Linked DNA regions of Arabidopsis thaliana. The protein of the gene in region 2 interacts with the protein of the main gene of each other region in a pairwise test. Each region holds a gene or a part of one and is shown on either strand. Other genes may lie near its edges.

Evidence for each region. Proteins that work in one complex are often made in the same cells at the same time.
Region 1: the proteins of AT4G00270 (region 2) and SWI3B interact in binary tests that used the Arabidopsis thaliana proteins (3 or more experiments, as listed by UniProt).
Region 3: the proteins of AT4G00270 (region 2) and AT5G60142 interact in binary tests that used the Arabidopsis thaliana proteins (3 or more experiments, as listed by UniProt).

What each region holds. Positions count from the first base shown.
Region 1 is NC_003071.7:14,227,388-14,231,959, reverse strand, and holds SWI3B (switch subunit 3), read right to left. Parts: upstream 2,989-4,572; 5' UTR 2,938-2,988; coding exon 2,775-2,937; intron 2,681-2,774; coding exon 2,271-2,680; intron 2,185-2,270; coding exon 1,774-2,184; intron 1,420-1,773; coding exon 1,293-1,419; intron 1,205-1,292; coding exon 1,074-1,204; intron 979-1,073; coding exon 811-978; 3' UTR 552-810; downstream 1-551. Other genes in the region: CRL2 (NAD(P)-binding Rossmann-fold superfamily protein), read right to left, coding at 3,462-3,594, 3,770-3,959, 4,055-4,220, 4,295-4,480, 4,554-4,572. UniProt on the Arabidopsis thaliana protein: Component of a multiprotein complex equivalent of the SWI/SNF complex, an ATP-dependent chromatin-remodeling complex, which is required for the positive and negative regulation of gene expression of a large number of genes.
Region 2 is NC_003075.7:116,577-120,436, reverse strand, and holds AT4G00270 (DNA-binding storekeeper protein-related transcriptional regulator), read left to right. Parts: upstream 1-1,793; 5' UTR 1,794-1,968; coding exon 1,969-2,202; intron 2,203-2,285; coding exon 2,286-2,960; 3' UTR 2,961-3,352; downstream 3,353-3,860. Other genes in the region: MEE45 (Transcriptional factor B3 family protein), read right to left, coding at 3,386-3,685, 3,730-3,860. UniProt on the Arabidopsis thaliana protein: DNA-binding protein, which specifically recognizes the GL1 enhancer sequence. May be involved in leaf initiation. May play redundant roles with GPL1 and GPL2 in cytokinin responses by regulating the transcript levels of type-A ARR response genes.
Region 3 is NC_003076.8:24,215,396-24,219,642, forward strand, and holds AT5G60142 (AP2/B3-like transcriptional factor family protein), read right to left. Parts: upstream 2,355-4,247; 5' UTR 2,197-2,354; coding exon 2,184-2,196; intron 2,070-2,183; coding exon 1,999-2,069; intron 1,958-1,998; exon of another isoform or gene 1,919-1,957; coding exon 1,300-1,918; coding exon of another isoform or gene 1,274-1,299; exon of another isoform or gene 1,214-1,273; coding exon 1,122-1,213; intron 1,031-1,121; coding exon 785-1,030; 3' UTR 552-784; downstream 1-551. Other genes in the region: AT5G60150 (uncharacterized protein), read left to right, coding at 2,816-2,990, 3,168-3,365, 3,463-3,716, 3,837-3,919, 4,023-4,186.

The sequences.
Region 1 (4,572 bases), on a different chromosome or scaffold from region 2:
ATTGATGTTCTACCACTTTTAACTTGTCCCACAAAAAAAACATTTTCGTTTTTTCTTTATTTTTTTTAAATATCACTCACTCCTTTCTAAATTAGTTATGTTTTAGAAATTAAATTTTGTATTAAATTAGTTATCGTTTTATATTTTCAATGCATGTTTTTGAAAGATTTTCCAAAAGAAATTCTTATTGTTTTGGCTGATTAATTGATGATATGATATTAAATAACACATTAATTAGAGATAAAACAGAAAATTCAATGTTTTTTTAGTTTGTCTGAAAAACCTGAACTAGTAAAGTTCAAGATAAAATGATTGAAATTTGTTAGACTGCTATTGGTTTATAGTTATTGAAAATGTTTAATATAACAAACAATACAGAAATGATTAATTAATGACTGTTTCTTAATATAAAAACCATCACTCTTTTAGCAACAAAGAGAGTAATCATGTTACGGAGATACAAAAAAAACATCGGTAACTTAACAACATTTGAAGATTAACCTATTTAGTGAAAACAAAATCTATCTTTTATATCGGATATCTCCAAAACCCTGACATTTTCTATTGTTTCCAAAAGAGCAAAATTAATTTTTAAAACTTTTCCACTTGTGATTGCCTGATAAAGACAAAAATTATACTTCGACGCAGTTGCCATTTGGTTTTGACTTTTATACCAACCCAGCCTTATTTATACCAATTCGATCTCATCTCATTTTGTTACCAACACATCTCAAGTACACTACAATACAAGTCATCTTCTTAACCAGACAAGAATCAAATAAGAAATAACAGTTTCAAATTAAGTGCGTTCTAACACTCTATTCTATCTTCAGTTTTCCGGGCTTTTCTGGTGTGGAAGAAAATGTTTAATTGATCAACGAAAAGCAGATTCCTCACCTCCTCCAATTGTTTCCGGCTTCTCTCCATTTCCAAATCCAATTTCTCGAAATGAACAATCCTATCTCGGATCTTCTTCATCTGTTAATCCCAAATTTTGTTTGTTCCAACATAAATCATCATTGAGTATAACCATATAATAAAAAGTCTATGGAAAGTTGCAGATTGTTACTAACCTCAACTTCAACAGTCTCTTTGATTGCTCCTTCTACCTCATGCTCTTCCTTCTCAATTAAAGACTTTGCATCTGCCCAAGCTCTTTCAGATTCGTTTCTAGTGGTTTCACCACTCGATGCAGCATTGGCATCTGTGTATCAGGAAAACAAAACTGTCACTATTGGGTTTGGCTTAGGACAGAAATGGACTGCAAATAGAGACAGCTTGGTCTTTGATACCTTGTCGATTTGGGTCTCTACTGGCGTTTTTGTCAGCCTCGTAGTCTACATCAGATAAAGCTCTCACTGCCGCTCGAGCTGCTGCTTCTGCAACATTTGTGCCAGCCAAAGCTGAAAGAAAAGCAGCCTGAAGAGGACATGATAGGATAAATCTTATTCAGAGACAGCCAATGAAGCATAACAATTGAGGTGTGATAACACAGTACAGAATTATCTAACACATATTTGATTCTTAAATGCCTTATATATGTCAACTAGGGTTTGTTATTACTAGATTTCAAAGTAAGCCCCACAAGGTATTCTAGATTTAGGTTCTTTAAGGAGACAAAAACGCAAGTCGTGGAACAGCCTAGTGCAGACACTGGACTATTCTTCAGTAGCCTAACAATGTAAAAGCATTTCCACGCATGTTGAAGACTTATACAAATAAGATTAACATAGAGAGAGAACGCAACTACTCAAATTGTAGTGTCTTTCTAACCTGAGCCATTATTGGGTTGCTTGCATCTGCAAGAGGTGTTAATTTGATCCGCTTGTTGGGAGAAGAACCGTCTTTATCTATTCCTTCAGATTCAGGAATATCAGAGTCCTTGATCTGATCAAACATCTCTAAACCATCCTCAGAGTCAGACTCTTTTACAAACTGTTCCCCAAACGGAAGCTTGACAAACTGAGAAACACAATCCTTCTCCGTTCTACCAATAACATGCGATGCAACCTTCTTCCAATCATCTCCATAGTGCATAACAGCTTCCAGCAGCAGCAGAATTTCCTTATCAGACCACTCTGGCTTTGACTCCTCACTAATCTCAACTCGTTTAAACTCCGAGGAGTTAATACCAACACGATAATTACTACGAACATAGCACCTCGCACACAATGTCAAGTCATACTGAAAACAAAAATGTACATAATCATTCTAAGTGACAAACTCAGTGAATGAAATTATTACTATGGCTACAAATTATGAAATCAAACCTTATCACAGGCGAAACAAGCTATGCTGCAAATTGCTTTGCAGCCATTGCAGTTTCTCTTGGCAGTTTCTTTGACAGTTGTGGCTGGCTCAGAAGCAGCATCTCCGGCGGATTTTCCGGCCTCTTTTTCTTCCCACTTGAGCGGCTTAGCAGAGGCGGAGCTATTATAGTTGATAAGTCCCCATGAATCGAGGAAATCAAAGACGCGACGAATAGAGACAACATCACTGACGAGAGTTCTCCGAACGTCAGTGAAACTAATCTTCCGAGGATGGTCGTCTCTGTACTGCTTAATAATCGAGTTCCTCAAGTAGAGATAAAACTTAGGGTTTTTGGATGAAGATCTCGAATCGAAAAATTCCGGCAGTGACCGGACCTCGCAATCGTTAATGTCGGTCCATGAAAACCAACCTAATTGGTTAAATAGACGGTACAAGTACAAAATCCGTAAGAAACAGTGAAGAAAGTAGAATAAATCAAAGTTTTCTCGGCGTTGCAGACTTACTGGAGTAGCTAGGTACGTGAATATTATCGATATCGGAAGAAGAAGACGGCAATTGAGCCGACTTAGAAGCTGCTGCGGCGCCTCCAGACGTAGTTTCGGAAAGAGAGGGAGTGCTCGGGAGAATTTCCCCAGATCCGCCGGGATCGGGAGCTTTCATGGCCATGACTCTCTGTTTAACTAACGCAACTTCGCCGGAGAAGGAAGAGGGAAAAGAGAATCTAGCTATCGAGATGGGCAAAGTTAAAAAAAAAGTCGGATATCTAAACGGGCCTGGTTTGGGCCCTAATACAGGTCCATTAACCTGGCTTTAGTTGTTAAATATTGCGAATGTTTTTTTAGTCCCATGGTCAGCCAAGATGTAGTGCATCTGCTACGCTAGGCTTAGAGGTTAATTCGAATGGTGAAGTTGTGCGTTACTGATTTCATGTATTAATGGTGAAGTTATCCTTTGTAAGTAGGTAGAAATTGGAACGTATCAAAGAGATATTGGAACATAGTTATGGAAGGAGTAATTGTAGATTGGTCATAAAAGTAATGGTGTCTAAGAAAGTAACAAAAACTCAGAAGTTCATGATGGAAAATATGTTGCACAACTCTTATTCTTGAGTAAAAGATGAAAGAGCGTGTGCAGATAGGAACACTTAACACATGGACCCAAAACACTCATATGCTATTCGTTCCCAGTTTTCAGTCCACAAGCTTAGCTTTGCGGTAGCTCTCAACAGAATCCACAAGTGTTTCCTCCAACGGCCGGTAAGTCCAACCCAACTTCTGCAACTTCTCTGAACTCACCTTCACTTTTCCATCCGCTTCGATGTATCTGATATTGGATAAGTAGAATTTAGATCAAAGGTAAGGTCTAAAAGAAACTTCAGAGACATTGATGTAAAGGTAAGTGACACTGTTTACTGATGAAAGTAACAAAAACAGCTTATTAAGGTTTAAAGGTTTTCACTCAAATTGGGTAGAGAGATGTGCAGCTGTTGTTTGCTTACCTCTTTGGGTAGTTGTAATTTAGATAAAGACTTTTCAGCTTCTCAGCGACTTCTTGTTCCCTAACCGTGTGGCCTATGCAGATGTACCTTCCTTCAGCTTCTGCTTTCTCATAAACCAAAAGTAAAGCTTGAGCCACATCACGCACATCTACCAAATGCCGTTCTTGGTTATTACGCGATTCATAACCCTCTGCACCACACTTAAGTATAAAATCAATACCAACTCATATACCAAGTTGCTGCTTCTAACAATCCCAGATGAAATGAGAGGCTTGTTTATAATACCTTTAAGAAGCTTGAGAAGAACAAGGCTACTAGCATTTACTGTGTGCTGCTGCAATACAGGTCCCAAGACAAGGGTAGGGCAAACACTGACGAGATCAAGTCCGGTTCGTTTTGCAAATTCGAAAGCTTCACTTTCTGCTCGTGTCTTTGACAAAGAATACCAATTCTGCCAGAGGGACGAAAGTCAGATTTAAAAGAAGAAAAAAAAGTGAGATGAGGGATTCAAGATGCATTATTAACCTCAGTTTTTTTGCAATAATCTTGGTCAGACCAAGCGGTCTCATCTAACACTTGACTCTTTGACCACATAGGGTTCATAGCAACTGCAGATACAGAGGAAACATACACAACACGCTTAACTTTTGCTTCAACGCATGCCTTAAGCACATTCAGCGTACCATCCACTGCAGGTGCGATCAAATCTACCTGCAAAACCAGTGAAACCATAGTGAGACAATGCATATAGCCACCAATGAGATTGTAAAAATGAAATCCTCACCTCAGGATTAGGGACTGAA
Region 2 (3,860 bases):
AATGAAAATACATGAATAATATTTTGGTAATAGGAGTACTTCATGCACAAGTCAACTGTTGTTTAAATAACATAAATCTTAGTTATAAATATTAAATAAAAAATAAAATACATAAATGGTGTCTTGGTAACAGGAACACTACATAAACATGTCAACTGATTTTAAATAACAAAATCTTAAAATAAATATTAAAATAAAAATGATAATACATGAATAGTGTCTTGGTAATAGGAGGAATACATAGAAAGATACACTGATTTTAAATAATAAAATATGAAATAAAAATACATAAATGATGTATTGGTAACATAAGCACTACATGCACATGTCAACTGATTTTAAATAACAAAAATGTTATGTTAAAACAAAAATAAAAATACATGAATGATGTCTTGGTAAGAGAAGGACTGCATGCATAGATCAACTGTTTTTAAATAACAGAAATCTTAACTCTAAATATTAAAACAAAAAGGAAAATACAGAAATAATGTCTTGATAATAGGAGCACTATATGCAAAGGTAAACATGTATTTTTTCTGCTTCCCTCCCATTCAAAGCCTTAATCAATGAAGTTTTGGCTAAAAGAATGATCTTTGACCGATGGAGTATTGTGTCGCTTGATGTGATCTTTTTACATTAGAATTGTGGTCATTTGTCTCAGGGAAAAGAGGAGCTATACAATATAACAAGAGGTCCTTCTTGAGGTGGTGAAGATCATAAAGAAGCACGGTTACGTTCCTTTTGTAATATTCCTTGGATCTCGAAATCGAGTACAAGTTCCTATCATGCTAATGGCGGAGATGGATGAAGGCATTTTACATTGTAATCTGTTCATTTAATTTGGATTGCTTTCATTGTTTCATTTGTTTGACATACATAGACACTAATAGTTGAGGATTATGTATTTACAACAATAAAGTGTTCCACTACACAAGGTACAATCGATATATATATAGTGTTAACTCTCATTTGTGTATATATGCATATCAGTTTGTAGGTGTTACTATGATAGTAGTACATTTATTAATTTATAAAAATTTATACGTAAAATACAATATTAATTTTTTAAAAAGAAAAATTTTAATTTAGTTTTTCTTTATGTTTTATTGTTTGTATATTCTGTTAGATTTTTTTTTATTACTTTTTTTATTTTTTCTCTGTAAGATATTGTGCATGTATACGACGTTAACGTGAGACTTAATCCAATTTTTTATTACACAAATCTTAACAATGATTTTTCATATAAAAAAAGTTACAAAACCAAATATGACGGATCAAATACGCAAAGAGTTATGTGAATACAAAAGAGATCACACCAACTATACTCTAGAAAGAGTTGCAATTATGACTTGAACAAAAGTTTCATATAAAATTAGTCTTTGAATGTATGCTAAAGATTTATGATTATTAATTTTATGATATTACTGGTACCATATTTTTACATAGGGATTTCAAAAAAAATATTATCTTATTATCTTATCGATTTTGGTTAATTTTTACATTACCCCGATTTGAGACCGACAAAATTTATTAATTTATCGTGTAATATGTTTTGTTCAAATACCTTTTAATATCTATTTAATAATAAAAAAATATTCAATCAGAAATGGATAATATATAATATAATTATTTACTTAAAATATATCAGCAATGAATCTTAAAATGTAGAAAAAACTAAATTTTAATTTATTATATAAAAAAGGTAGATAAAATATTTTATACTATTAAGTGACTAAAATGATAGATTTTTGCAAGAGCAAAATTGTACTATTGATGAATATTAAACAGTAGAAAAAAAGATGAAAGTGTTTGTTTTGTTATGAATGTTGAGAAAAGTATGGCCAAGTGTTACTCATCCTATTTTGCTTTTCTTTTTCTCTCGGGTTTCACTTTTTAAAGGTCGTGAAGATTGGGAATCACTGCTCTGCATGCGCCCTAGAATCAGCAAGTCTAAAGCAAGCAATAAGCATGGTGACTCCGAAGCAGATCGATTTCTCTTCCTGTGTTGGTGCTGATAACTCCAACGGTACCCTCTCCCATCGAAGATCTCCACGGAATATTCCTTCCTCAAAGCGTGCTGCTTCCGTCGCAGAAGAAGAGACTATGAAGAAGAAGATGAAGATGAAGAAGAAGAAGAAGAAATTGGATCCGCCGTTGATCGTCCGGATCTGGAACGAGGAAGATGAGCTCTCTATCTTAAAGGTATTGTATTGATCTTCTCCATTTATAGTTTGATTTGGTTTTGCATTGTGATTTTCTAAAACCAGATTTTCGAAATTGCTCAGGGGTTAGTTGATTACAGAGCTAAGACAGGATTCAATCCCAAAATTGATTGGGATGCGTTTTGTAGTTTCCTCGGAAGTTCTATCGTTGAGAGATTCTCCAAGGATCAGGTTTTGAGTAAAATCAGGAAGTTGAAAAGGAGGTTTCATGTTCACTCGGAGAAAATCAATCAAGGGAATGATCCCAAATTTACTAGGTCTAGTGATTCTGAAGCCTTTGGGTTTTCTTCGATGATTTGGGGACAAGGTGATGATGATGGTATGGATAAGGAGCACGAGGTAAACGGAAATGGTGCAGCGGAAAACCGGACTAACGAGAGCGGGGAGGAGATGTTGAAGGAGCACGAGGAGGAAGTGGCTAATACTGAACTTTTAAATGAGAATGGGGCAGCCAAAACAACAGAGAATGGGACTAGTAGTGGAAAAGAGAGACATGATGAGGACAATGATGATGATGATGAGTTATGCGCGGTGCAGGATGCATTTGAGGCGGTGATGTCGCAAGGTTTAAGTGGTTATCAAAAGAAGTTGCAGCTTGAGAAGCTGATGAACCTTGGAAATGGTAAAAGAAGAGAGTTGAGTGATGAATGGAAAGCGTTATGTGTTGAGGAAACAAGATTCAATATCAAGAAGCTTAGATTTTCCGCCAAGCTTGCAGAGGCAGCTAATGATAGTTAGATGAAACCAATATGCCCTTGTAGCATTTGGTGTTGTTTAGGTTCTTAGTAAGTCATAAGCTCTAGTCTGTTCAGTGTATTTATCTTTGGATCCTGTCTTTCTTCTACTTGGGCAAGTGTTTGTAAGATATTCCACTTTTTACTCAAGTATCCACAAGAGCCAATGTAGTAGAGTGGCTTGTGCAAGAGTCTAGAGTCTAGGGTTAATAATGTGCTTTAAGGCATGCTTGTGTGTGTGCCTAAGAGTGTAGTGAAGTAGTATAAGTAAGAGTGTGTGTGTGTCTTGTAATATTATCCAAGATATTAACAATGTAGAAGATTAAAAGAAAAATGGTTTTTGTTCTTACTCTCTAAGACAATGAAACCTTAAGAGTTATATCTTACCAAATAAAAGAGTCAAACATTGATTCATTTCAATATAGAGTTTCATTTGATTTCTAGCTTCACCTTGGAGCAGAACTTAAGGACGCAACTTGTTTCTTCTTCCCAAATCAGTTCCAACATGATGGATTCGTTTGCCTTCACATCGTTAGCTTGGATGAATCCTTGCCATCCTCCTACCATTCGTAGTCTTTTTCTTTTGTCGTCCTCGAACCGCAGAGTCGTTAACCACTTCACACCATGTTTATCCAACAGAGTCATTTTAGTTTCTTCATTGATACCATTCATCCTCGTGAAAGGAACCGGAAGACGCTGAAACATAGATTCACACAAAAGATTCTCATTCTATAGACTGTTAAAAGACAATGGCTTGGAATGATGAAACGTACCAGTAGAGAACTTTGGATTGTATAAGGTGTTAGAGTTAATGTCACAAATCGGTTTTCGGATAGTAAAGACTTTCTTCTTGAGATTTTCTCGTCGTGGATACTCTCTTCATCGCTTTCTTGCTCTGTCGAAA
Region 3 (4,247 bases), on a different chromosome or scaffold from region 2:
TTTGATCGGAAATAAAAAGGTGAACAAAGTTTCTCCAGATCCAAGTTTTTCCAGATGTGATTTGATCTAAAGGTGTTGGCCTTTTGTAGCAAAAACTTGCAAAAACAGAGGGTTCTCTCTGTTTCGATGCTTTTTCCTTCAAATGGAAAACAAACCATTAATAGTACTCTTCTTATTCAAAAATAATTCGTTAAGCGGACCAAGGTATCGCTAAGGCCCAAACAAAAAACAAGAAATGGGCCTTAAGTTTGGTTCAATCTATATCGTGTAAATGACATTATCGTCCTTAAACAAAAGAACCACAGTAAAGAGTCGAGAAGGGTATATTAGAGAAAGAAGGACTTGTGACATCTCAATTCTTGAACAAGAAACTTGAAACTTGAAAGAAGAATGAGATAGTGTTAAGTGGCAGAGTTCCAAGTATCTTAGTATTATTCTCCTCCTATGCCAATGCTTTTCTTATGATCACATAGAGAGTAATAACATTCTTTTTACATGAACTCGCAGGTTTTAAACAGCCCTGATGTGTGAACCATTCATAATGATTTCTCCCAAAATCTATAGCTCTAGTATACATTATTATTGTAAGACTGTGTTGATCGTCTTTTGCACTTCATGTTTCAGACAAACAAACAAAATCAAGAAGTGTATAGAAAGCATCAACATCGATTATGTTCCGAGAAAACCAATAAGATTCATAAAACCAAGTACTCTACTCATATAAAAACTCTCAAGTAAAAATAGATAATGTCTTGGAGTTAACGCATAAAGCCTTATCAAGAGATCATCCTCTTATAACATGGACCTTGATTTCTCGAACAAGACCATCCATCTCCTTTTCTAACTCACAAATCACCTTGTCATTCAACTTCACATTATTCCTTCTGATTATACTACGGAATCCCTTGATTGTTTGACCCTTAACTTTCCTCTTCAATTTACCAAAGTTTTTCTCGAGTGGATCAATCAAATTGATGAACTCAGGGAAGTGTAAGCCATACTTCGTTATGACCTTAGTTGGTATGCGCAGCTGCATTACAAAGATAACATCATAAAACAGAAGTGGTACATTATTTTAATGAAAATGCAAAAAGACATGAGACTTTCTTCACATTTCTTACCATATTATATTTTATTTGCCGATGCTGGTTCACTGTAAAGAAAGGGTTCATGTGATTATCCAGATATTGTCTGTCATGCTCTCCAGAAGAACCTATCAAAATTTATACGCAAGAAAATAAAAAGACAGTGATGCTCTCAGTCTCAGTTAACTTCACAAGACAAAAGTTTCTATTATACCTTTCTTTTTTTTCTCTGTTTTGACTCCTCTCCATCTTTCTTTCTCAACATCAGCATGATCATCGTCACCATAATCTTGATCATCATCATCATCATCATCATCAATAACTATGATATCTTCACTAGATGTATCTTCCTCAACATAATCTTGAACATCATTAATATCATCATTATCAGCATCATCAAGAGCTGTAATATCTTCACTAGATGTATCTTCCTCATTATAATCTTGAACATCACTAATATCATCATCATCAAGAACTATGAAATTTTCACTAGATTTAACTTCTTCCCCATAATCTTGATCATCATTAAAACCATCATCATTGTCATCAAGAACCGTGATTTGCACTGAACTTCTAAGCCTTTTACACGTTGCACGACCATAGATACAGAAATTGAAACACCAAGAGCCATCAAACTCAAATTCTAAGAACTCTCCACCTTTCAAATCTTCGTCCTTGACTATCTTCTTCCACCCATTAACCATAACAAATCTCTCACTATCACCACAAAACTTCCTAAACGCCACTTTCCAGATGTTTCCATAAATGCTTCTAACAATTACATTTTTAGGCAACGACTTTGGTAAAAAGCTGTTGAAAGAGATGGGTAATTCCTGAAGAGGAAGGATCTAAAAGTTTCAATAAACTAAAAATCTACATATAACCAAAAACAGAGAGAGAAGTGTATTTTTACCAAATCATCTCCGGAATCATCAGGTAAGTACACTTTGAAGAACTTTGGAAGACAATCATCCACAGAAATTCCTGTTCCAAAGCAAGAAAAAAATCAGAACATAGGATAGGTTATGTGATTGGAGAATCAAGAACAAACAATAGCATAAAGATCTTAACATAAAAACAAGAGTCTAAAGAAGAAACCTCTGTTCATCATCTTCACCTCTTTGAAACCCTAACTCTTTTAGTGAAAGTGAAGGTGAAAATGGTTCTTGAAAATAGAAAAGTAAAAGAGCTTTGTTAATAGATCTCCGATCTTTTGGTTTGCTTTAGAGATTTTGCCTTTTGTAGCATAACACAGAGACTGTATTGTCTTCTAGGCTTATTGCTACAAATGGAAAAATAAAACATGTGCTAACTACTTTTACTTCAATGCTCCATGAACCGAACCGATATGATTTTAATCAAACCGAAAAAATATTATCCTAACCAAACCAAACCAATAAAGGGTGAACGAGAATTTAAAATTCAAATAAATGGGCTTTAAAGTCCGGCCCAATCGATTTGCTTTAAATGACAATAATAACCTGAGATTATAGAGAACGTTGGTCCGATCTTCTTTCAATTTCAAGTTTTTCAACCTCTTCCCGCTTACGAGGCCGGGATATTCTATCAACAGTCGTCTCTTCCATCGGCCGAACAATTTCCGATTTACCGACTAGGATTTTCGCCTACAACTTCCGAAGAGATTTTCTCAGTGTAAGTTTGAAAAAACCTAGCTATAGGATTCCGGATTTCCTAATCGTCAGATCTTGGGCTCGAAAGAGAAGCTAGAAATGGATAAGGATCTCTTAGATATCTCTGGAGAAGACGACGAAGATAATTGGCTTCTGAAGAATACGCCGAAGAAAACTAATTCGAGCCGAGGAAAGAGTTATTTGAAATGCTCACCTCTCCAAATCCCTAGATCTAGTCGTATCGTTCCTACTCGGCCTCCTTTTTCCCCAATTGGTAAGCGCTTCAATTTCTCGTTCTCGATCCGAGCTTCGTTCTGATAATTTCTCTCTCCCTTTGTTAGAGTGTTTAAGCATCTGAATTAGCATTGTTTAAATCTTAATTTGATAAAATAGCAAATTAGTATAAATGTTGTGTATTCTGCGGATATATGAAGGTTAATACTTTTTGCAGGAAGAGTAACAGGCACCAGCAACAACAGGGAGCAGCCATGCGCTTCAGTTGATACAGATAGTGTAGGAAAGGAGAATGCTAAAGTTGAATTGCCCAAATTGAGTGTGGAGCGACAACAGATGAAGAAGAAGAAAAAGAATGCAGGGTTTAATTTGCGCAAGAGTTTAGCATGGGATAGAGCTTTTTCAACGGAAGAAGGTGACTTTTTTTTACCAATTTCCTGTTAGTAGTAAAGGTCAAAGATTTGGTCTATGTTACTAAGAATCTTAAGATGTGTGATATGGTCATGAACCAGGTGTTTTGGATTCATCTGAGTTATCTAAAATAACTGGAACTGCTTGCCATCTTGGTGGAGATCGGTTAGCTGCCATTCAGGAAGAGTACAGAGAGTCAATGTCAGCTTCCAAATGTAATGTTTCACCAGGACTACAAGCACTTGAAGAAAACTTATTTAACGACTTGCCTGTGAATAGTAAAAACAGAGAGAAGAAGCTTGTCAGTGGCATAATGCCCAAGTACGGATCACCATCTAAATCCCAATCTTCCTCGGTGAGTTTACTGGACCTAAATATTGTGGAGCTAATGAGGGTCATAAGTCGTTTCTTTCCTTGCGTAAATATATATATTTTGAGGCGCAGTCTATCTAAATGTCGAATATCTGCATTATAGGCCCAGAAAAAAGTTATCTCAGCTCAGGATTTAAGGAGTGGTTCCAAGCGCAGTGGCTGTCCCCGGCCTCCTCCTTCATCTTCATATCCTTTTCTTACTTTGAGTACTGAGTGTATAGGCAATCTTGATATCCTTTGCAGGTCTTGTTTGTGTTCTTTTTGCTTGTTTACCTTAACCATCTTGCACCCTGAAAAGACCTGCAAATGTGCATACAACAACATCACGTTGCAGGGAGCTGAGCATATCTAAAGTTCCTACTACCAAATCTGACCCAGTTACAGTTGGAAACAACATGAAAAGGACTACTCAAAGTCCAATCAAAGCGAAAAACAGTCAACCTACTCAATTAAGTATGTTCACTTCAGTTAGCAAATAAAAACTATTCATCTCATATCCTTTTTAGTTCTGTTA